Saccharomyces cerevisiae S288C: one gene and its partners. The gene in region 1 interacts genetically with each later gene. Each region holds a gene or a part of one and is shown in the gene's direction. Other genes may lie near its edges.

The links.
Region 2: mutations in PBR1 (region 1) and UFD2 together harm fitness more than expected from each alone (negative genetic interaction), as found in Saccharomyces cerevisiae (3 studies listed by BioGRID).
Region 3: mutations in PBR1 (region 1) and CCH1 together harm fitness more than expected from each alone (negative genetic interaction), as found in Saccharomyces cerevisiae (2 studies listed by BioGRID).
Region 4: mutations in PBR1 (region 1) and EDE1 together harm fitness more than expected from each alone (negative genetic interaction), as found in Saccharomyces cerevisiae (3 studies listed by BioGRID).

The regions. Positions count from the first base shown.
Region 1 is NC_001146.8:296,358-300,103, forward strand, and holds PBR1 (putative oxidoreductase), read left to right. Parts: upstream 1-1,977; coding exon 1,978-3,201; downstream 3,202-3,746. Other genes in the region: chromatin-binding/pre-rRNA-processing protein IPI3, read right to left, coding at 1-1,270; Rho family GTPase RHO5, read right to left, coding at 3,297-3,746. UniProt on the Saccharomyces cerevisiae protein: May be involved in lipid metabolism.
Region 2 is NC_001136.10:118,184-123,445, reverse strand, and holds UFD2 (ubiquitin-ubiquitin ligase UFD2), read left to right. Parts: upstream 1-1,853; coding exon 1,854-4,739; downstream 4,740-5,262. Other genes in the region: RBS1 (Rbs1p), read right to left, coding at 1-1,230; 60S ribosomal protein uL29 RPL35A, read right to left, coding at 4,929-5,262. UniProt on the Saccharomyces cerevisiae protein: E4 ubiquitin chain-elongation enzyme specifically involved in polyubiquitin chain assembly.
Region 3 is NC_001139.9:922,948-930,714, forward strand, and holds the start of CCH1 (calcium channel protein CCH1), read left to right. Parts: upstream 1-1,748; coding exon 1,749-7,767. Other genes in the region: GPI1 (phosphatidylinositol N-acetylglucosaminyltransferase), read right to left, coding at 1-1,515. UniProt on the Saccharomyces cerevisiae protein: Voltage-gated, high-affinity calcium channel that functions together with MID1 to mediate calcium entry into cells. Required during conditions of environmental stress.
Region 4 is NC_001134.8:127,388-133,749, reverse strand, and holds EDE1 (Ede1p), read left to right. Parts: upstream 1-1,709; coding exon 1,710-5,855; downstream 5,856-6,362. Other genes in the region: PSY4 (Psy4p), read right to left, coding at 1-1,326; RRT1 (Rrt1p), read right to left, coding at 6,140-6,362. UniProt on the Saccharomyces cerevisiae protein: Functions at the internalization step of the clathrin-mediated endocytosis (CME) as an early-acting scaffold protein. Requires clathrin adapter proteins, ENT1/2 and YAP1801/2, for normal spatiotemporal dynamics and viability.

The DNA.
Region 1 (3,746 bases):
TATTACTAGGTTGTTTGCCTTTGGATTCTCCTTCAAAAAGTAAATTTCCACGTTCGAGTCTGTAAGGGTTGGTTAAGAGATTGGTCACTTCTCCAACTGAATCCTGTGATGTAGTTAAAGTTTGGATAGTTCTAATGATTTGTTTTGAGTAAATTTCCGCAATAGAAACTTTCCCCTCCGTATCACCGATCAATAATAATGTACCATCCATTGATATTTCTAGGCATGACACATTTGAATTTAGGACATTCTCACAGACAAGTTGGCCCATTGCATATAGTGCATCCAAATCTTCATTTTCGCCGCCAGTTAGTGAGTTACGTTGCACTAGGGAAAAAACCCTACCTTTTTGAACTGTGTTTACTCCGGCGGACTGTAGCAGATTAACGATAGCATTACCCTTTAGTTTATAAAATAAATTCAATGAAAAACAACCTTCCGCAGTACCAATATAGCATGCTCTGTCAGCAGGATCCAGTACAATGGATTTGATAGAATAAGGAGTTGTAAATGTCGCAAGCAATACTGGGGTCTTACCAATACTAACGTCATTTTCGTTTGCCTTCTGCTTCTTTTTGCTGCCTATTAAACTCAAATCATAGCATCTAATGGTAGCATCTTGAGATACTGTGAAGAGTTTCGTATCAGTACATGATAAAAATTTTCCTTGACTAGAAGAAACTTGGAAATCTGTCACGGGTAGAGTATGATCGTGAAGGATACATAAAGGCTTAGGATCATCATTGGACGCTGATACCAAGTCAACAGTTTGCCATATAATAACTCTCGAATCGTTACCAGAAGTAATAATATACTTGCCGTTTAAAATGGACTTAATCTTGGTGATACTTTGGTAATGAGCCATAGGCTTCACGTTCAATAAAATCCCTGAATTTAACTCCCATATGTACAATTTACCCGATTCGGTGGAGCCAAGTAAAAGGTACGGAAGATTGAAGTCTGGTAAATTATGATTGACACCTTGAATTCTATCATACTGCACACCATCATTTTCAACTACTTCCAGACATTTTAGGATTTCAGGTAATGGTAAGCGCTGTTCAACAGATTCTCTTTTGAAAGAACCTGACAGATTGTAGACATTGATTAATGCTTTTTGTGCTTGAGCAATAAAAAGGTATTTATTTCCTACTTGAACACAGCTATTTCTTGATTGAGTGGAGCATTGCCTCAAATTTATCTGTTCAAATGAGTGTACAGAAGCTATTGTTCCTGAGGTATTTGTTGTAAAAATAACTTGCTCATCCATTTTATCGTCCCTTGAAAGATCCTGTTTTATGAATATTGAACAATCAATCTTAACGCATATGCCCTTGTCAGAGCCGTCCTTCGAATAAGCATATTTGGAATGGGCATCGATTTAAAATTTTCATTTAGTGGGATGTAAAAAAAAATTTTAGTTCGCGCGTACAGTTTTTCAACATTTGCCATATGATGTAGAATGGCGCTATCAAATCATCACTCTTATTACAGGTGAATCGCGCGCTAACACTTCAATTACAGACACATACTCCTGAATGGGTGCTTTCAAATCCCCTCTCCCCCAAGATCAAGTCCTATTTCAACTTCTCCTCTCAAAAACCCTCTATGTGACGCTGTGTATTCTTTGTTGTAGTTATGCTCCACGATACAGTGGCTGCTCATGAGCTTTCCTAGGAGCTCAGCACGTAAATGTATAGCGTACATGCTATAAGCGTGGCAGTTATTATAATAGTTCACACGGTATCTTACCGTATTAATTTATCAAAGTTTGCAGTTATCCATTCTGTGCCCGCGTTTCTTTTCAGTTTATAGACGCGATCGAATGTGCCTTAAAAATTTGGAAGAAGAGAGAGAAGGATGCATAAGTAATAGAACATTACGAGAAAATAGTTTACAGAAACAACTGGCTGCCCTGAAAGGCTTTTTTGGAGAGGAACAGAAACAAAGAACAAAAATTTTTAGAAAAAAAAAGAAATGCCTTTGAATATTATTGGGACGGCTCTCCTAGACGGGACTGACAAGATTCCTTACTATCAAACAATCAAAAAGGTGGCACCTTATGTGCTAGCGACTGGTGCCATTAAATATTGGTCGAGAGGGCCATCAAATACATGGGAAAGAAAGTTGCACGGTAAAGTTTACTTGGTTACTGGCGCTACCTCTCAAGGAATGGGAACATCCGTGGCTTATAAAATGGCAGAGTTAGGTGCACAATTAATCATCTTGACTAGGGAAGTAGATGAATGGGTTACTGAATGGTGCGAAGAATTACGTGAAAAGACAAAGAACGAGTTGATTTTTGTAGAAAAATGTGATTTGAGCAATTTGTGGGAGATTCGTAAGTTTGCCACAAGTTGGTTAGACAATTCGCCACCTAGAAGATTAGATGGCGTTATTGTCATGTCCGGTGATATGGAACCATGGGGTATCCCGAAAATATCTTTGCCACAGAGGAGATCATCTAAGGATGGGCTGGAATTGCAAATTGCTACAAACTATGTAGCAATTTTCCATCTTTTAAACTTATTACAGCCTAGTTTCAAGGCTCAACCGCCTGATAGAGATGTAAGAATAATTCTTGCCACCTGCTGGTTACAAGTTGTTGGTGATATTAATATAGAAGATCCGTTGTGGCAAAATGCCAAATACAAAAGCGCCTTGAAGTTTTTCGCAAGCAGCAAGCTACAATTGGGATTGAGTATGATGGAATTGCAAAGAAGACTTACCGAAGACATAAAAAACCAAAAGACGAATGGCGCTGAAAGAACAGGAAAAAATGTTACCATTACTATGGTTCAACCTGGAACTATGAGATCAAATAGCCTACGCCGCGTCATTAGTAATGGTTCGGTGGTATTGTTAATAATACTTTACTGTATTCTGTTGTACCCCATATTGTGGCTGTTTACCAAGAGTGGTCGTCGTGGTGATCAAAGTTTCTTGTACGCTTTAATGACACCGGAATTGGAGGAAGTAAACTTAAAAGACACGAAGGTTAAGTATATCTCAGACTGTTCAATTGTGAAATTTGCTCGTAAAGAATTTGATGACGAGGAATTACAGAAGAAACTATTTGATAATACGGAAAGAGATATTTTACAATTGGAAAAGAAAGTCGCGGCAAAGAGAAATGCCAATAAGACCGGGAATCAAAATTCTAAAAAGAAGAGTCAGAACAAGAGTAGAAAAGATGATTAGAAATGAGAACGTAAATATATGTGTAGATTTCTTTTTTTCTTATTTATGATATCGGTATATGTAATTATTTATTTACTTTTTCTGCCTCCTTGATATTAAAGTATTACACACTTTGACTTCTTTTTCTTCTTGTCGTTTCTCGTCTTTGGTTTAGCTTGCTTGTTGTGATGATTATTTGAGGCAATTTTACTACCTTTGCTTTTTGATTGCTCGTGAATTTTGTCTTTTTGTCCCTTTTTTGTGGGTTTGATATTGAGAGCTTCCTTCTCCTGCTGTAAGCTTCCTTTCGGAAGAGTACTATCTGTACTATTATTATGGTGTGGTTGCTGTTTTTGTTCTCGAATATTTTTATCTCCATTGGTGTTGGTTGTTGCAGTCGTTAATTCATCAGTTAGAGTATGATTTGCTGATTTTTGGTTAGGGGATTCTGGTTCGTAGATAGCGTACCTCACCGCCTGTTCAAAGACTTCCCGGACACCTGCTTGGGTAGCAGCTGAACATTCGGTATAGCCCATAAACCCACATCTTTGTACGAGTTCATCTAT
Region 2 (5,262 bases), on another chromosome or scaffold:
ATTTTTTCCTTGAAAATGGTGGTACTTATTTGCTGAGGATCTTGTGTAATTGTTAGAATTATAGCTTGGTGTATTGCTATATGGCCCGCTGTGATACTGAGTGTTATATTGGTATTGATATTGATATTGGTATGGGGGATACATAGGGATTGGGGTGCCAAACGAACAGGACCCTTGGGGATTCATATTGTACATGTAAGGGTTCATGAAGACTGTGTTATTGCCCATTACCATGGGTGAAGGTGCAGGACCGGGGGCAGGACCAGCGGGGTTATACATTAGAGGGTAGGTTGGCAGACTATTGCCACCCATTTGGGGAGGAGGATACACAAGATATGGCGAAGAATATCCCGATTGGTAACCGCCGTTTTCTTTATTCCGACGACTTTGGCCTCTATAGGCATCTTTGTAATTGTTTGTTCCTCTTCTTCTTCCTCCTCTTCCTCTTCGACTATCATAAAATTGTTGTTGAGGTTTGTTTACTTGTATCGTCGTCACAGATGAATTGAATGGTGATGAAGAGCTAACTGAACCGTTACTAGTTTGTGTGTTAGAGTCATCTCCGTTCAACCAATCACTCCATTCATTGTCACTATCACTACTACCGCTACTGTTGGTTGACTTTACATCGTCTTCACTCTTGTTGAGCTTATCAAAAATTTCTTGTTTACGTTGTTCATAAAGTCTTTCCTTCTCAATTCTTTCTTGTTCCAAATCAGTACTAGATTTATCATCGATTTCGATTTTTTGGTCCTTATTTGAATTGGCTGTCAAATTGCTATTTGGTGTACGTGTATTGCCATCGATTTTATAATCGCACTCGTTACCTACCTCTTTCCGCTTTAAGATTCGAAATATTCTGTTATTGTTCGATTTTTCAATACTCTCACTTGAGGAAGCACACTCTTCCGGTTTTTTGTTCAGCTGCAACTCTTGTAAGAGTGGCTTTCCTTCAATCTTTTGGAAATTCTCACCTTTGAAAAGAATCACACAACTATCTTGAGTTCTTGCCAAAACATGGTTCAAGTTGTGGTACTCAGCTATTTGGTGCGATAGAAGCCTATAATATGAATTCATCGGTCTTAGCTGAAATGATTCTGTGTTTGAGTTTATGAATGACACTATGGAATTTTCCAGCTCTATTATAAAGATACGGTCCTGTGGTTTCTGGAACAAGCCCGTTTCCATAGCGGGTGTCAATCCCCAGTTTCGAGAATCTAGTGCTGTCATCACCTACTTCTGCCCTAACTCCTTATATACTTGAAGAGACTTGAATATCTTAGTTGTTAGTACGATACGAAATAACTAAAAAATTAATTAAAATAAAATAAATCGTGCGCCCATTATAAGATGCACGTTTCAACATACTGTCACCACGGCTTGCTGGTACAATATGGCTCAATTGCCTACGCCAAAACTTGTCGAGTTGTATGTGAAAGAAAGAAGAAACAGATAGGCTAACCCGCATATGACACTAGCCAACGCTTCTTAATCGATATTCTTATTATATCAATATTATTTTGCGCTTAACGATTCATCCTTTCGTCGAGGACGCTATTTTGTCAGTATTCGTCAGAGGCGATAGTCTGTCTTTATTACAAAAGGTGAATTGAAGATCAAAGGTAGATTCTAACCATTGGCAACAAAATAATAGAGGTGTACGCCGCAATCATTGTTAATCATTAAGTAATTGCCATTTTATTCACATTTTTAGACTCAACCACTTGCTGTTGCCACAGTAAACGTTAATTATATCTTTGAGAATTGTGTCAGCCAATAGAAAGGTAAAGTTGACCACAAGTTGTTTAAGGGGAAAAGTTAACTTTGAAAGTAGAACCCTCATTCCATAGATCATGACCGCCATAGAAGATATTTTACAAATCACCACCGATCCTTCCGATACCCGTGGCTACTCTCTATTGAAGTCCGAGGAAGTGCCTCAAGGCTCAACTCTTGGAGTTGATTTTATTGATACGCTACTATTATATCAACTCACCGAGAATGAGAAGTTGGATAAACCGTTTGAATATTTGAACGATTGCTTTCGCCGTAATCAGCAACAAAAAAGAATCACCAAAAACAAGCCAAATGCTGAGTCATTACATTCCACTTTCCAAGAGATTGATCGTCTTGTCATTGGCTATGGTGTCGTTGCCTTACAAATAGAAAACTTTTGCATGAATGGTGCTTTCATCAATTATATCACTGGAATTGTTTCTAACGTTAACTCATATACTGATTTCCTTTCCCAAATCATTCAAAGAGCCATATTAGAAGGTACCGCTTTGGATTTACTTAACGCTGTTTTCCCGACATTATTAGAATACTGTAATAAACATGTCAGCCATTTTGATTTGAACGAATCTGTAATTTACAATAACGTTCTTACCATTTTTGAGTTATTTGTTACATTTAAACCTATTGCAGAAATATTCACTAAAATAGATGGTTTTTTTGCAGACTATAGCTGTAAACCACAGGATTTTGAAAGGAAAACGATATTGGGGCCTATTTTATCTCTTTCTCCCATAGAAGCTGCTGTGGCAATCCGGAACTACGGCGATAACCTTTTGCGTTCCAAACAACAGACAGCCATGATCCATGAATCTCTACAAGCTGAGCATAAAGTTGTCATAGATAGACTCTTTTTTATTGTCGATAAGCTTGTTCGTGGCTCCTTAAACTCAAGGACTGATATGATTAGTTATTTTGCCCATATCGCTAATAAAAACCATTTACGTAGAGCCGATCATCCACCATTCAAAGAACTATCCTCTAACGGATTTATGTCCAATATCACTTTGTTATTGGTTAGATTTTCTCAACCATTTCTAGATATTTCATATAAGAAAATCGACAAGATCGACGCAAATTACTTCAACAACCCAAGTTTATTTATTGATTTATCAGGGGAAACACGATTAAATTCTGATTTTAAAGAGGCAGATGCATTTTATGACAAGAACAGAAAAACAGCAGATTCTAAGCCAAACTTCATCTCTGATTGCTTTTTCTTGACATTAACCTATTTGCATTATGGTCTGGGAGGTACATTATCATTTGAAGAGAAGATGGGATCTGAAATCAAAGCGTTAAAGGAAGAAATTGAAAAAGTAAAGAAAATAGCTGCGAACCACGATGTCTTTGCCAGATTCATTACAGCACAATTATCCAAGATGGAGAAGGCGTTGAAAACAACAGAATCTTTGCGATTTGCTCTTCAAGGGTTCTTCGCTCATAGATCTCTTCAACTAGAGGTTTTCGACTTTATTTGTGGTGCATCTACGTTCTTGATTCGTGTTGTGGATCCTGAACACGAATTTCCGTTTAAACAAATTAAATTGCCATTAATTCCGGACCAAATAGGTGTTGAAAACGTGGACAACGCTGATTTTTTGAGAGCGCATGCTCCAGTGCCTTTTAAATACTATCCAGAATTTGTTGTAGAAGGTCCAGTTAACTATTCTCTATACATTTCGAAGTACCAGACCTCTCCAATCTTCAGAAATCCACGTCTGGGATCGTTTGTTGAGTTTACAACAATGGTCCTCCGTTGTCCTGAATTGGTTTCCAACCCACATTTAAAAGGTAAATTAGTGCAGTTATTAAGCGTTGGTGCTATGCCTCTAACAGACAATTCCCCCGGATTCATGATGGATATATTCGAACACGACGAATTAGTTAACAAGAATCTGTTATATGCTCTACTAGACTTTTATGTTATTGTTGAAAAAACAGGCTCTTCTTCACAATTTTACGATAAATTCAACAGCAGATATAGCATATCAATAATTTTGGAGGAGCTTTATTACAAGATACCATCTTATAAAAACCAATTGATCTGGCAGTCTCAAAACAATGCTGACTTTTTTGTGAGGTTCGTTGCTCGTATGTTGAATGACTTGACTTTCCTGTTGGATGAAGGCCTAAGTAATTTGGCTGAGGTGCATAATATCCAAAATGAGCTGGATAATCGTGCAAGGGGCGCGCCACCAACAAGAGAGGAAGAGGACAAAGAACTACAAACAAGATTGGCGTCTGCTTCCAGGCAAGCTAAGTCCTCGTGTGGATTGGCCGATAAATCGATGAAACTGTTCGAAATCTATTCGAAGGATATACCGGCTGCATTTGTCACACCAGAAATCGTATATAGACTGGCAAGTATGCTAAACTATAACTTAGAGTCACTTGTCGGTCCCAAATGCGGGGAACTAAAAGTGAAAGACCCACAAAGTTATTCATTCAACCCAAAAGATTTGTTGAAAGCCTTAACAACTGTTTATATCAATCTTTCCGAGCAATCAGAGTTCATCAGTGCTGTCGCTAAAGATGAAAGATCATTTAATAGAAATCTCTTTGTTCGCGCAGTTGATATTCTTGGTAGAAAAACTGGTTTAGCATCTCCAGAGTTCATCGAAAAACTATTGAACTTTGCCAATAAAGCCGAAGAGCAAAGAAAGGCTGATGAAGAGGAAGATCTTGAGTATGGTGATGTTCCTGACGAGTTCTTAGATCCTTTGATGTACACAATTATGAAGGATCCTGTCATTTTACCAGCATCCAAGATGAATATTGATAGAAGCACGATCAAAGCACATCTGCTTAGTGACTCTACTGACCCGTTTAATAGAATGCCTTTAAAACTAGAGGATGTAACACCTAATGAAGAGTTAAGGCAAAAGATTCTTTGTTTCAAAAAACAAAAAAAGGAAGAAGCAAAACATAAAGCAAGCGAGTGAATGAATAAGTGATAGAATAAATTGCAAAATTGACCCTAATCAAATAAGGCTTATTTCATCGCTCAATGTGTCTTATATTTTGAAGATTTTCGATGAAAATGTTTTAATTTAACAATTATTTAAAAGGTGCTAGAAAAACGTAGAAAAGTTGGAACTATAGATAATGATAGTATATAATTGAACTTCCAATTAAGCCTTAATAGCGTACTTTCTTTGTGGGAAAGCGATTTGCTTCTTTCTTTGCTTTTCGGTAACTTGGGAAGCTTCGAATTTGGTCAAAGCTCTTCTCAAAGCTCTGGTCTTCTTGGCTCTCAAGTCCTTTGGTTGGTACTTCTTACCCTTGTATAATTGTCTAACAGCTTCTCTTTGTTGTTCGTTGATGACGGTCAAGACACAGGCGATACTCTTTCTGACGGTCTTGATCTTTGGCAAAGATGGTCTGGACAACTTTTGGACCTTCAATTCAGCCAACTCCTTTTTCAAGTCAACCAATTGAGAAGCCAATTGTTCCTTGGATTTGGTT
Region 3 (7,767 bases), on another chromosome or scaffold:
TAATGCGAACAATGGAAAATGGTTAATGAGTGCAATGACAGCTTCCGAGAATATTTCGATAGTTATTGTTAGCATTCTCAAAACTGTGTATGACATATAGAATGCCATCACTGTGGGAGTCAAGAACACTAGAATAATAAATAATAATGTTCCCAATAGCAATTGATCTAGTTGAAAATAGTTATGGTCAATCCTATTTCGTAAAACGTTCCTCTTTTTACCGCAGAACAGGTTAAAAAGACTAGCCATAATATTCAACTGACAATGGTACAGTTTACTGCTGATACGATAAAAAACATATATTGGAAAACTTAAAATTGCAAAAAAATCAATCGCTAGGGAAACAGCAAAAGAAAAGCCAACGAGAAACATCATATATATCGTTAACGTGAGCAAAGATGATAGGGTTTTCGGATCAATGAGTCTTTTTATGAATGTGGTATAAGAAAATTCTATCACCCAAAGAAATAATTCGCTCAAAAAGTTCGCAAGTTCTGCATTTAATTTGATGCCAAGGGGGTTATTTGCTAACGTTTCAGTTATTGTTTTTAATGAATCATATAAAAAAAACTTCAATACTCTATGGGATGCCGACACCAAGAAATCTCGATTCTCAATAAGTATGGCCCCCAATATTAAACCAAATGAAATGTCATTAATAATAAGCCAAATTGTATTATACAATAAAATATAATCGGGATAGAATTTAGAAGGCATATATGAATGTGAGAATTGACTATTAGAATTATCTTTTTCCACCATAGAGCCAACATTCTGTATGTTATCCTTCTTATTAATACGCTCATACTGTACTGGGAAATAGCAAATTTGTTGACAACGAAGATCGATTTGCTGGACAAATGCCGAGTAATTTACCAACTGAAAGTGCGAATAATTTAATAACGAGGATACGAGACTAGCAATAGAGCAGATCACAAAAGTCAAATAAAAACCAATTTTTGCGACCATTTTATAAATACAAGTAGATGAACACCAAGCTGCGACACTATTAAGCATAGTACCCCTCAAATTTTCCTGTGATGTTTGAATAAACGGGTAAAGCTCATTTAATGCTTTACAATATGCGGGGAATAGATTAATGATGTTCAAAGTTTCACTCAATTTCTTATTATCTCTCTTGTATCTTGGATGTTGCTCTAATTTAGAATAGTTCAGAGTTTCACCCACACTACTATGAAGACCAACTTCTTTTTCTGGTATGATGAGCGAGATGGGATCAGAAGAATAGAATTGCATAAATTTCAGCTTGGGTATTCTAAAATGGACATTACAGGGATCAGCAACTTTGTAGTTCCAACCCTCCGCTCCATTGTTCTTAGTAGCTACCACTGAATAAGGGGGCCGTATGCTTACTTCTTCTAAATACTGAGGTTCGCAAACACCTAAGACAACAAAATGCGTCTTCTCAAATGAAATTGCCAAAGCTACCTGAGGTCCTTGAGCTGCGGAATTCTCGAACAAGGATTCGTATGGCCAGAAAATGTAATTTGGCATGTCATTTAACTGTATAAAACCGCCCCTGAATTCGAAGGTTCCTGTTCACAGAGGAATTTTCATTCTTTTTGGTATTATGTTCTGGTAGGTTTTTTTCATATTCTACATTTCGGCATTCTCACTGAAAATAAATATAGATGAGATAGAAGATCATGAATCAATGGTTGGTGACAAGCTAACATAAGGAAAATCAAAATACACGGCATTACTAAATAGAATATATTGTTAGTACTATGCAGGGGAGAAAAAGGACGCTTACGGAACCATTTGAGCCAAATACCAATCCATTTGGGGACAATGCAGCAGTAATGACGGAAAATGTTGAGGATAACAGCGAAACAGATGGTAACCGTCTAGAATCAAAACCACAAGCTTTGGTCCCACCAGCTTTAAATATCGTGCCACCAGAGAGCAGCATCCACAGTACTGAAGAAAAAAAAGGTGACGAGTACAATGGAAATGATAAAGATAGCTCCTTAATCTCCAACATATTTCGTACTCGTGTCGGAAGGAGTAGTCATGAAAACTTGAGCAGGCCTAAACTCTCACTTAAAACAGCATCATTTGGTGCCGCTGAATCTTCCCGGCGTAATGTTTCACCCTCTACAAAATCTGCCAAGTCTAGTTCGCAGTATATTGATTTAAATGATGAAAGGCTACGCAGGCGTAGCTTCAGTAGTTATAGCCGATCATCTAGTAGGCGTGTTTCTAATTCACCAAGCTCAACGGATAGGCCTCCACGGTCGGCAAAGGTTTTATCGCTAATTGCCGCTGATGATATGGATGATTTTGAAGATTTGCAAAAGGGATTTAAAAGTGCAATAGACGAAGAGGGCCTGACATGGCTACCCCAATTAAAATCAGAAAAAAGCCGTCCTGTATCAGACGTTGGAGAAGATAGAGGAGAAGGAGAACAAGAATCTATACCTGACGTTCATACACCCAATGTAGGAGCAAGCGCTACTCCAGGATCAATTCATCTAACACCCGAACCCGCGCAGAATGGTTCGGTATCTGAGGGTCTAGAAGGCTCTATTAATAATTCAAGAAAGAAACCCAGTCCAAAGTTTTTTCATCATTTATCACCGCAAAAAGAAGATAAAGACCAAACAGAAGTTATTGAGTATGCTGAAGACATTCTAGATTTTGAAACCCTTCAAAGAAAACTGGAATCAAGGCCCTTTGTGCTTTATGGACATTCTCTTGGGGTTTTCTCGCCTACGAATCCGCTAAGAATAAAAATTGCTCGTTTTTTGTTGCATAGGCGGTATTCGTTACTTTACAACACTTTGTTAACATTTTATGCCATTCTCCTGGCGATAAGGACATATAACCCTCACAATGTGGTTTTTTTATACCGTTTCTCTAACTGGACCGACTATTTCATTTTTATTTTATCAGCTTGCTTTACAGGCAATGATATTGCTAAAATAATTGCGTTTGGATTTTGGGACGATTCTGAAATGTTTAAAGCCTATGGACGTGAGTATAAATCAATCTTACAGAGATCTGGAATTATGAAACTATACATATATCTGAGAGAAAAGTATGGTAGAAAGCTAATAGATTTCATTATTCCATTTAGGATCATATCGCCGGGAGAAGAGACAAAATATCAACGAAGTTCGTTGAGTACTTCCCTGACGAAACCTTATGGGGCAAAGGAAAATCAGAGGCCTTTTGGCACCCCAAGAGCCTTTGCGAGATCATCGTGGAATAGAATAGATCTGGTATCTTCTGTCAGTTTTTGGCTAGGTATGTTTTTATCCATAAAAAGTTATGATACAAAAACAGGCATAAGAATATTCAAGCCCCTTGCTATATTAAGGATTCTTCGACTTGTAAACGTGGATACTGGTATGCCCTCAATTCTAAGGGGATTGAAATATGGTATCCCACAGTTGGTAAATGTTAGTTCAATGCTAGTTTACTTTTGGATTTTCTTTGGGATTTTGGGAGTACAGATTTTTCAGGGCTCTTTTCGAAGACAATGTGTATGGTTTAACCCTGAAGATCCTACCGATACTTACCAGTACGATATGCAATTCTGTGGTGGTTACCTAGATCCAGTAACAAAACGAAAACAAAATTATATCTATGAAGACGGATCAGAAGGTTCTGTTTCAAAAGGCTTTCTTTGCCCACAATATTCGAAATGTGTTTCCAATGCCAACCCCTACAACGGCAGAATTAGTTTTGATAATATTGTTAATTCCATGGAGCTCGTTTTTGTCATTATGAGTGCGAATACTTTTACTGACTTAATGTACTATACGATGGATTCGGATGAAATGGCTGCCTGTTTGTTTTTTATTGTTTGCATCTTTGTTTTAACTATCTGGCTGCTAAATCTACTCATTGCAGTGTTGGTATCATCTTTTGAAATAGCCAATGAGGAGTACAAAAAGAAAAAGTTCATATATGGTTCTAGAAAGACAGGTTATGTTGCTCGCATAGTAACAGGCTACTGGAAATATTTTAAGCTTAAGGCGAATCAGACAAAATTCCCAAATTGGTCCCAAAAAGGACTAGCTATTTATTCCCACGTTGAGTTTATCTTTGTCATACTTATTATTTGCGATATAGGTATGCGCGCCTCTGTTAAAGTATCGACTTCGGCAAACTGTAACAATATCCTTCTAAAAACTGACAGGGGAATTTCGATTGTTCTCTTCATCGAATCACTGGCAAGGTTAGTATTATATCTGCCCAATATGTGGAAGTTTTTAACAAAACCTAGTTACGTTTACGATTTTATTATATCAATTATTACTCTGGTTATTAGTTGCCTGGCTGTTGAAGGGGTTCTAGGACATATGTATGCCTGGCTATCCATATTCCACATATCCAGATTTTACAGGGTGATTATTTCTTTCAATTTAACAAAAAAACTATGGAAACAAATATTGAGTAATGGTGTTATGATTTGGAACTTATCGTCTTTTTACTTTTTTTTCACCTTTTTGGTTGCTATAATCATGGCTGTGTATTTCGAAGGCGTGATTCCTCCAGAAGAAATGGCAGACCAGCCATTTGGAATGTATTCACTACCGAATTCATTTCTTTCTTTGTTTATAATAGGTTCAACTGAAAATTGGACGGATATCCTATATGCCCTCCAAAAACACTCACCAAACATCTCCTCAACTTTTTTTTGCTCAGTATTTTTTATTATATGGTTTCTACTATCCAACTCAGTGATCTTGAACATTTTCATTGCCCTAATATCAGAAAGCATGGAAGTGAAAGAAGAAGAAAAACGACCACAGCAAATTAAGCATTATCTTAAGTTCGTCTATCCTCAGAAAATACAAGAATATACACACGCTAGTTTGGTTGCGAGAATTCGTAAAAAATTCTTTGGAGGTCATAGGAACGAAGATACAAGAGATTTTAAGCAATTTCTTATGAGAGGAACCGCGATAATGAACATAGCGCAGAATATGGGGGAGTTGGCCGATGAATTCAAAGAGCCACCTTCAGAAAACCTATTTAAAAAGGGCTTATCAAAGCTCACAATTGGGGTTCCGTCACTAAAAAGGCTGAGAATGTTTGCTAATAATCCATTTTATAAAAATAGTGACGTTGTGTTTACAGAAACGAACGATATAAATGGGAGGACGTATATCTTGGAGTTGAATGAGTACGAGGATGAGAAGCTAGATTATTTAAAAAAGTACCCTTTATTCAATTACTCATATTATTTCTTTTCTCCTCAGCATAGATTTCGAAGGTTCTGTCAACGCTTGGTACCACCAAGCACTGGAAAAAGGACTGATGGATCACGATTTTTCGAGGATAGCACTGATCTATACAATAAAAGGAGCTATTTTCATCATATTGAAAGAGATGTATTTGTATTCATTTTCGCACTTGCCACCATTTTACTAATTGTTTGCTCATGTTATGTTACGCCTCTATATCGTATGCATCACAAGATGGGAACTTGGAATTGGTCCTCGGCGTTAGATTGCGCCTTCATTGGTGCCTTCTCAATTGAATTTATCGTGAAAACAGTAGCTGACGGATTTATATATTCTCCAAATGCTTACCTGAGGAATCCATGGAACTTTATTGATTTTTGTGTCCTAATCTCAATGTGGATTAATTTAATTGCATACCTAAAAAACAATGGAAATTTGTCTAGGATTTTCAAGGGATTGACAGCCCTGAGGGCCCTCAGATGCCTCACGATCAGTAACACAGCTCGTCAAACATTTAACCTAGTTATGTTTGATGGTTTAAATAAAATTTTTGAAGCTGGGTTGATTTCACTCAGTTTGCTATTTCCATTTACAGTTTGGGGCTTAAGCATTTTTAAAGGCCGTTTAGGTACTTGCAATGACGGAAGTTTGGGCCGTGCAGATTGTTACAATGAATATTCAAATTCCGTTTTTCAATGGGATATCATGTCTCCAAGGGTTTACCAGCAACCATATCTTCATTTGGACTCTTTCGCAAGCGCTTTTAGTTCATTATACCAAATCATTTCTTTGGAAGGATGGGTTGATTTGTTGGAAAATATGATGAATAGTTCAGGAATAGGTACACCCGCTACGGTAATGGGTTCAGCAGGGAATGCTTTATTCCTCGTTCTGTTTAATTTTTTAAGTATGGTTTTCATCCTGAACTTGTTTGTTTCATTCATTGTTAACAACCAAGCAAGGACAACAGGAAGCGCTTACTTTACCATTGAGGAAAAGGCGTGGCTGGAATCCCAGAAACTTTTATCTCAGGCCAAGCCAAAAGCTATCCCAAATTTAATTGAGTTATCAAGAGTTAGGCAATTTTTCTATCAACTTGCAGTGGAGAAAAAAAATTTCTACTACGCATCGTTTCTTCAGGTAGTACTTTATTTGCACATAATCATGCTCCTGAGTCGAAGCTACAATCCAGGAAACTTGATAGGTTATCAAGGTGTTTATTTTATGTTTTCCACTAGTGTTTTTTTAATTCAAGAGGCACTTCACATGTGCGGTGAAGGACCAAGATTATATTTTAGGCAAAAATGGAACAGCATACGACTCAGTATCATAATTATAGCCTTTATTATGAACGCTGTAGCATTCCACGTTCCAGCCTCTCACTATTGGTTCCACAATATAAAGGGGTTTTTCCTGTTAGTGATATTTTTGTTTATTATTCCTCAAAATGACACACTAACTGAACTATTAGAAACCGCAATGGCAAGCTTACCGCCTATTCTATCATTGACCTACACTTGGGGGGTTTTATTTTTAGTATATGCTATTGCTTTGAATCAAATCTTCGGCCTAACAAGGTTAGGGAGTAATACGACCGATAACATAAATTTTAGAACTGTAATCAAATCCATGATTGTTCTGTTTAGATGTAGTTTTGGTGAGGGCTGGAATTATATCATGGCCGACCTAACTGTGTCAGAACCTTATTGCTCCTCTGATGATAATTCAACCTATACGGACTGTGGATCAGAGACATATGCCTATTTGTTATTAATGTCGTGGAATATTATTTCCATGTATATTTTTGTGAATATGTTTGTTTCGTTGATTATTGGTAATTTCAGTTATGTTTACCGTAGCGGTGGATCTCGCTCTGGCATCAACAGATCGGAGATAAAAAAATACATTGAAGCTTGGTCCAAATTTGATACTGATGGAACTGGCGAGCTTGAGCTGTCCTACCTCCCAAGAATAATGCATTCATTTGACGGTCCTCTTTCATTTAAAATTTGGGAAGGTAGATTGACAATAAAAAGTCTAGTCGAGAACTACATGGAGGTTAACCCAGATGATCCATATGACGTCAAAATAGACCTGATCGGACTGAACAAAGAGCTGAATACGATTGATAAAGCAAAGATCATACAGAGGAAGTTACAGTACAGAAGATTTGTACAAAGCATTCACTATACGAATGCTTATAATGGATGTATCAGATTCTCGGATTTGTTATTACAAATACCTCTCTATACAGCTTATTCTGCAAGGGAATGTCTAGGTATTGATCAATATGTCCATCATCTATATATCCTGGGTAAAGTGGACAAGTACTTAGAAAATCAAAGAAACTTCGATGTATTGGAGATGGTGGTAACAAGATGGAAATTTCATTGCAGGATGAAACGTACCATTGAACCCGAATGGGATGTTAAAGATCCCACAGTATCGTCTCACATTTCGAATATAAACGTAAATCTGGAACCTGCTCCAGGAATTTTAGAAAGAGAACCTATTGCGACACCTAGAATGGACTACGGTGTTAACAATT
Region 4 (6,362 bases), on another chromosome or scaffold:
TCATCTGGACTTCTTGCCTAATGGACTGCTAATATTCTCACGGTAGGTAATACCAGCAATCGCAACCATCTTATCCTCTTGTGAAGAGCTCATCGATGGACTCACTAATTCGTCACCTGGTAACAGTCCTTCACTTCTACCCTCATGGTTTTCATGAGCATCCTCTTTCTCCTCCTCCTGGCTCGATGAGATCTCATTACTGCCGTCCATGGCATTGAGGAGCGAAGACGATGGCGACTCTATTATGGAGAACCTGCCCGTTGCGGTATGTTTATATTTCTTTGGCGTCGTGAGATCCATGTTTGTGAATGATGGTGATTCGTCATATTCAAAGTTATCTAAATCTGTGGGCTTCCTCTTCCTTGGAGTTTCATTTTTCTTGTCAAAATTTTGCACCTTGGTACTTTCGCCCGCCTGCCTATCTTCGTCATCATCTTCATCGTCATCTGTGCTGCCCATGTGATCATCATCCTCATCATCTTCATCTGCACCATCTTCACGATAATCGTCGTCGTTGTCATCGTCATCTTCATCATCGCTATTATTCTTCGTAACATCGCTCTGACAATTTTGTCCTTTATTATCGCTATTATCATCGTTTATCCCGCAATCATCCTCATAGTATTCTTCCACCATGAAATTTTCATCTTTCAGCAAAACATTACGCTTACTCTTATTCCCCATCTCCCTATCTTCATCACCATCAAAAAATCCTTCCTCTTCATCCTCGTCATCGTAGCCTAGGTTGACACTCATTATAGAGTCGATTTCTCTAATAAAGGGTGCCAACTCCCTAGTATTGTTTTCGGTCATCCACGGTATCTTCATTAGTGAGACATCTTCTTGATTCTTGATGAAGTTAATATCTTTCTCCTTATCGTCCTCTTGCTTCTCACCGTGTGTTTTATCAAAAACCTGCCAACTGCTAGTTACCATGCAACATTTTTCTAGCGCATTTACAAACTTCTCCAATTCATTGATCTTGTAATATTTGAAAGGATCATAACACAATTCGCATATCCGAAGTATTGTGAATGGAAATGTATGATTTTGTAAAAAATTATCATTCAGAAACTTACCCAGCCAATTTAATCTAGTAACGAGATTTCTCGCATCGTTCATTTCATTCTTAAGGTTTATAAATAGGTCAAACGGTATTGTTTCAGTGATATGCCGGATTAAATCAGGCAAAACTTGCTCGGGACCCGCCGTCACCAATCGCGTCTTGTCGCCCTGTTTCACCACATCGCTAAGTAATTCATAAAGGCTGATAGACTTGATACCCATCATATTATTATCCACATCATCCAACATCGTCGAGCTCATAGCTTTTTATTGTGCTTTGACAATCGATGAGAACACCAACAAAAAATGATAATAGGTATTGTTAGCTGTGTCAAAATACATGCTTTTGATCGCGAAATGAAAAACTACACAATCATTACCCGTCGGCGCTTCGGAGGGGGATTAGATTTCTCCTATAATCAAAATCTTCAACTATTACAAACCCCTTTTCAGAAGCACATTGAAAACAACACACAACAGAGCACTTTGTGATAGGCAATAGAGTGCTTTTAAATAGAGAATTACTGGTTCTCGCGAAATAATATAGCGCGTTGAAACTAATAAATAGATTCGTGAAGCTCTAGATCTATCTTTTTTCCTGTTTTTATCTGTGTGTTTTCAATAGGATTCGAACGATATAGGCCATGGCATCTATTACTTTTAGAACTCCATTATCCTCTCAGGAACAAGCCTTTTATAATCAGAAATTTCACCAATTGGATACGGAAGATCTCGGGGTGGTCACTGGCGAGGCAGTCAGACCGCTCTTCGCGTCTTCTGGTCTTCCAGGGCAATTACTATCGCAAGTGTGGGCTACCGTCGATATAGACAATAAAGGGTTTTTGAACTTGAACGAGTTTTCGGCTGCTTTGAGAATGATCGCTCAATTGCAAAATGCTCCCAACCAACCAATTTCCGCTGCCCTATATGAGAGCACACCTACTCAACTGGCTTCTTTTTCTATAAATCAGAACCCAGCCCCTATGCAAAGCGGTAGTGCAACCGGCAATACAAACAACACTGATATTCCTGCCTTATCCTCAAATGATATTGCTAAATTTTCACAACTGTTTGATAGGACAGCAAAGGGTGCTCAAACTGTTGCTGGTGATAAAGCCAAGGATATATTTTTAAAGGCAAGATTACCAAATCAAACTTTAGGTGAAATTTGGGCTCTTTGTGATAGAGACGCATCCGGTGTCTTAGACAAATCTGAGTTTATAATGGCCATGTATTTGATCCAACTATGTATGTCTCATCATCCTAGTATGAACACACCACCGGCCGTGTTGCCTACTCAGCTGTGGGATTCTATTCGTTTAGAACCTGTTGTTGTTAATCAACCAAACAGGACTACTCCTTTGAGTGCTAACTCCACTGGCGTATCTTCACTAACAAGACACTCTACTATATCACGTCTATCTACTGGTGCATTCAGTAATGCTGCTTCAGATTGGTCTTTAAGTTTTGAAAAAAAACAACAGTTTGATGCAATTTTTGATTCATTAGATAAGCAACATGCTGGTTCGCTAAGCTCTGCTGTGTTGGTTCCATTCTTCTTATCCTCTAGATTAAACCAAGAGACGTTAGCCACCATCTGGGACTTAGCTGACATCCACAACAATGCTGAATTCACCAAATTGGAATTTGCTATTGCCATGTTCTTAATTCAAAAAAAGAATGCTGGTGTCGAATTACCGGATGTTATCCCCAATGAATTATTACAGTCCCCCGCTTTAGGACTTTATCCGCCAAACCCACTTCCTCAACAACAAAGTGCACCTCAAATTGCCATCCCCTCAAGAGCAAGTAAGCCTTCTTTACAGGATATGCCACACCAAGTTTCTGCCCCAGCAGTTAATACTCAACCAACAGTTCCACAAGTTCTTCCTCAAAACTCAAATAACGGTTCTTTGAATGATTTACTGGCTTTGAACCCTTCATTCAGCTCTCCTTCTCCCACTAAAGCACAAACTGTGGTTCAAAACAACACAAATAATAGTTTTTCATATGATAATAACAATGGCCAAGCAACATTACAACAACAACAGCCACAGCAGCCTCCACCTTTAACTCACTCCTCCTCTGGATTGAAGAAATTTACTCCCACCTCAAACTTCGGTCAAAGTATAATCAAGGAAGAACCAGAGGAACAAGAGCAACTAAGGGAATCCAGTGATACTTTTAGCGCTCAGCCTCCGCCAGTTCCAAAACATGCTTCAAGTCCAGTCAAACGTACAGCTTCAACAACACTGCCACAAGTTCCCAACTTTTCTGTGTTTAGCATGCCAGCAGGCGCTGCCACTAGCGCTGCCACTGGTGCTGCTGTAGGCGCCGCAGTGGGTGCTGCTGCTTTAGGCGCATCCGCTTTTTCAAGATCTTCCAATAATGCATTCAAGAACCAGGATTTATTTGCAGATGGTGAAGCTTCTGCTCAGTTATCTAATGCTACCACAGAAATGGCTAATTTATCTAACCAAGTAAACTCCCTGTCCAAGCAGGCAAGTATAACTAATGACAAAAAGTCAAGAGCGACCCAGGAGTTGAAACGTGTTACTGAGATGAAAAATTCCATTCAAATCAAATTGAACAATTTACGTTCTACCCATGACCAAAATGTTAAACAAACGGAACAACTGGAAGCACAAGTACTTCAAGTAAACAAAGAAAACGAAACATTAGCGCAACAGTTGGCTGTATCCGAAGCAAACTACCATGCCGCTGAGTCCAAACTCAATGAACTAACTACTGATTTGCAAGAATCTCAAACAAAGAACGCAGAATTAAAAGAACAAATTACGAATTTGAACTCGATGACAGCCTCCTTACAGTCACAATTAAATGAAAAACAACAACAGGTCAAGCAAGAAAGGTCAATGGTAGATGTTAATTCAAAACAGCTAGAGTTGAATCAAGTCACAGTAGCAAACTTGCAGAAGGAAATCGATGGTCTTGGCGAAAAGATAAGCGTTTACTTAACTAAACAAAAGGAGTTAAATGACTACCAAAAGACCGTGGAGGAGCAACACGCACAATTACAAGCTAAATACCAGGATCTGTCCAACAAGGATACTGATTTAACGGACCGTGAAAAACAATTGGAAGAACGTAACAGACAAATTGAAGAACAAGAAAATCTCTACCATCAGCACGTTTCTAAATTGCAAGAAATGTTCGACGATCTATCACAGAGAAAAGCTTCTTTTGAAAAAGCTGATCAAGAGTTAAAGGAGAGAAACATCGAATACGCTAACAATGTGAGAGAGTTATCCGAAAGACAAATGAATTTAGCTATGGGACAATTACCTGAGGATGCTAAGGACATTATTGCGAAAAGCGCCTCTAATACAGATACAACAACCAAAGAAGCCACATCAAGAGGAAATGTTCACGAAGACACTGTATCCAAATTTGTCGAAACTACTGTTGAGAATTCAAACTTGAATGTTAATCGGGTTAAAGACGATGAAGAAAAGACAGAAAGAACCGAAAGTGACGTATTTGATAGAGACGTTCCAACTTTGGGATCTCAAAGCGATAGTGAAAATGCCAATACAAACAACGGCACCCAGTCAGGAAATGAGACAGCAAATCCAAACTTAACTGAAACATTAAGTGATAGGTTTGATGGTGATTTGAATGAATATGGTATTCCAAGAAGTCAATCCTTGACATCGTCTGTTGCAAACAATGCTCCTCAATCCGTAAGAGATGATGTTGAGCTACCGGAAACGTTGGAAGAACGTGACACCATCAATAATACTGCGAATAGAGATAATACTGGAAACTTATCTCACATTCCTGGTGAATGGGAAGCTACCCCAGCTACCGCTTCTACTGATGTTTTGAGCAACGAAACTACAGAAGTTATTGAAGACGGAAGTACCACAAAAAGGGCTAATTCAAATGAAGACGGTGAGTCGGTCAGTTCTATCCAAGAATCTCCAAAAATCTCTGCTCAACCAAAAGCAAAGACAATAAATGAAGAGTTTCCACCAATTCAGGAATTGCATATTGACGAAAGCGATTCATCCTCTTCAGACGATGATGAGTTTGAAGATACCAGAGAAATTCCATCAGCAACAGTGAAGACCCTTCAAACTCCCTATAATGCCCAGCCCACATCAAGTTTGGAAATCCACACGGAACAAGTCATAAAATATCCCGCTCCAGGCACTTCTCCTTCACATAATGAAGGTAACTCAAAAAAGGCAAGCACCAATTCCATTTTGCCTGTTAAGGACGAATTTGATGATGAATTCGCAGGGTTAGAACAAGCGGCTGTGGAGGAAGATAATGGTGCTGATTCGGAATCTGAATTTGAGAATGTTGCGAATGCTGGGTCGATGGAGCAATTTGAAACCATAGACCATAAGGATCTCGATGACGAACTACAAATGAACGCTTTTACAGGGACGTTAACTAGTTCCTCTAACCCAACTATCCCAAAACCACAAGTACAACAACAGTCAACCAGTGACCCTGCTCAAGTAAGCAACGATGAGTGGGACGAGATTTTTGCTGGATTTGGTAACTCCAAAGCTGAACCAACCAAAGTAGCTACCCCAAGCATTCCACAACAACCAATTCCATTGAAGAATGATCCTATCGTTGATGCTAGCTTGTCAAAAGGTCCAATAGTTAACCGCGGGGTTGCAACTACTCCAAAGTCTCTAGCCGTCGAGGAGTTAAGTGGCATGGGATTTACTGAAGAAGAAGCGCACAATGCCTTGGAAAAGTGCAACTGGGATCTAGAAGCCGCCACTAACTTTTTGTTGGATAGTGCTTAGTCTGTAATGGACCATTTCGTCTTCTTTTTGTACTTCTTCCTCGAAGCTGAATCATATTTACCCTTTTCCAGGATCGTCCTTGTATATTGTGAATTATTCTAAAAGTAGAATATGTTGTACTTTAAAATTGTTATAGTTATCATCATCTATTTTTCCATTTTATAAAATTTTTACGTTAGACAGTTATGTATTGAAACTGCTTCATAAGTTTTGAAAATCATCCCAGTTTGGTAAATACACTAACCAAAAAAAAAAAAAGCTCTACCACATAATCTTTGGGCGTATTACAACATGGGAAACACGACATTATTGAAAATACAAAAAAAGTAAAGTAAGACTCGTTCAGGGCATAAGTCAATGGCCCTGTAAGAAAAAACAAAGTAGCTAGGCTCATAAGAGATTATCTGTTTAATTTTCTTTGAATAAAAAAAAGTATAAATCGATAAGATAAAATACCACAATGAAAAAATAAAGGCTACTTGAAAACAACTGGACCAAACCAAAACC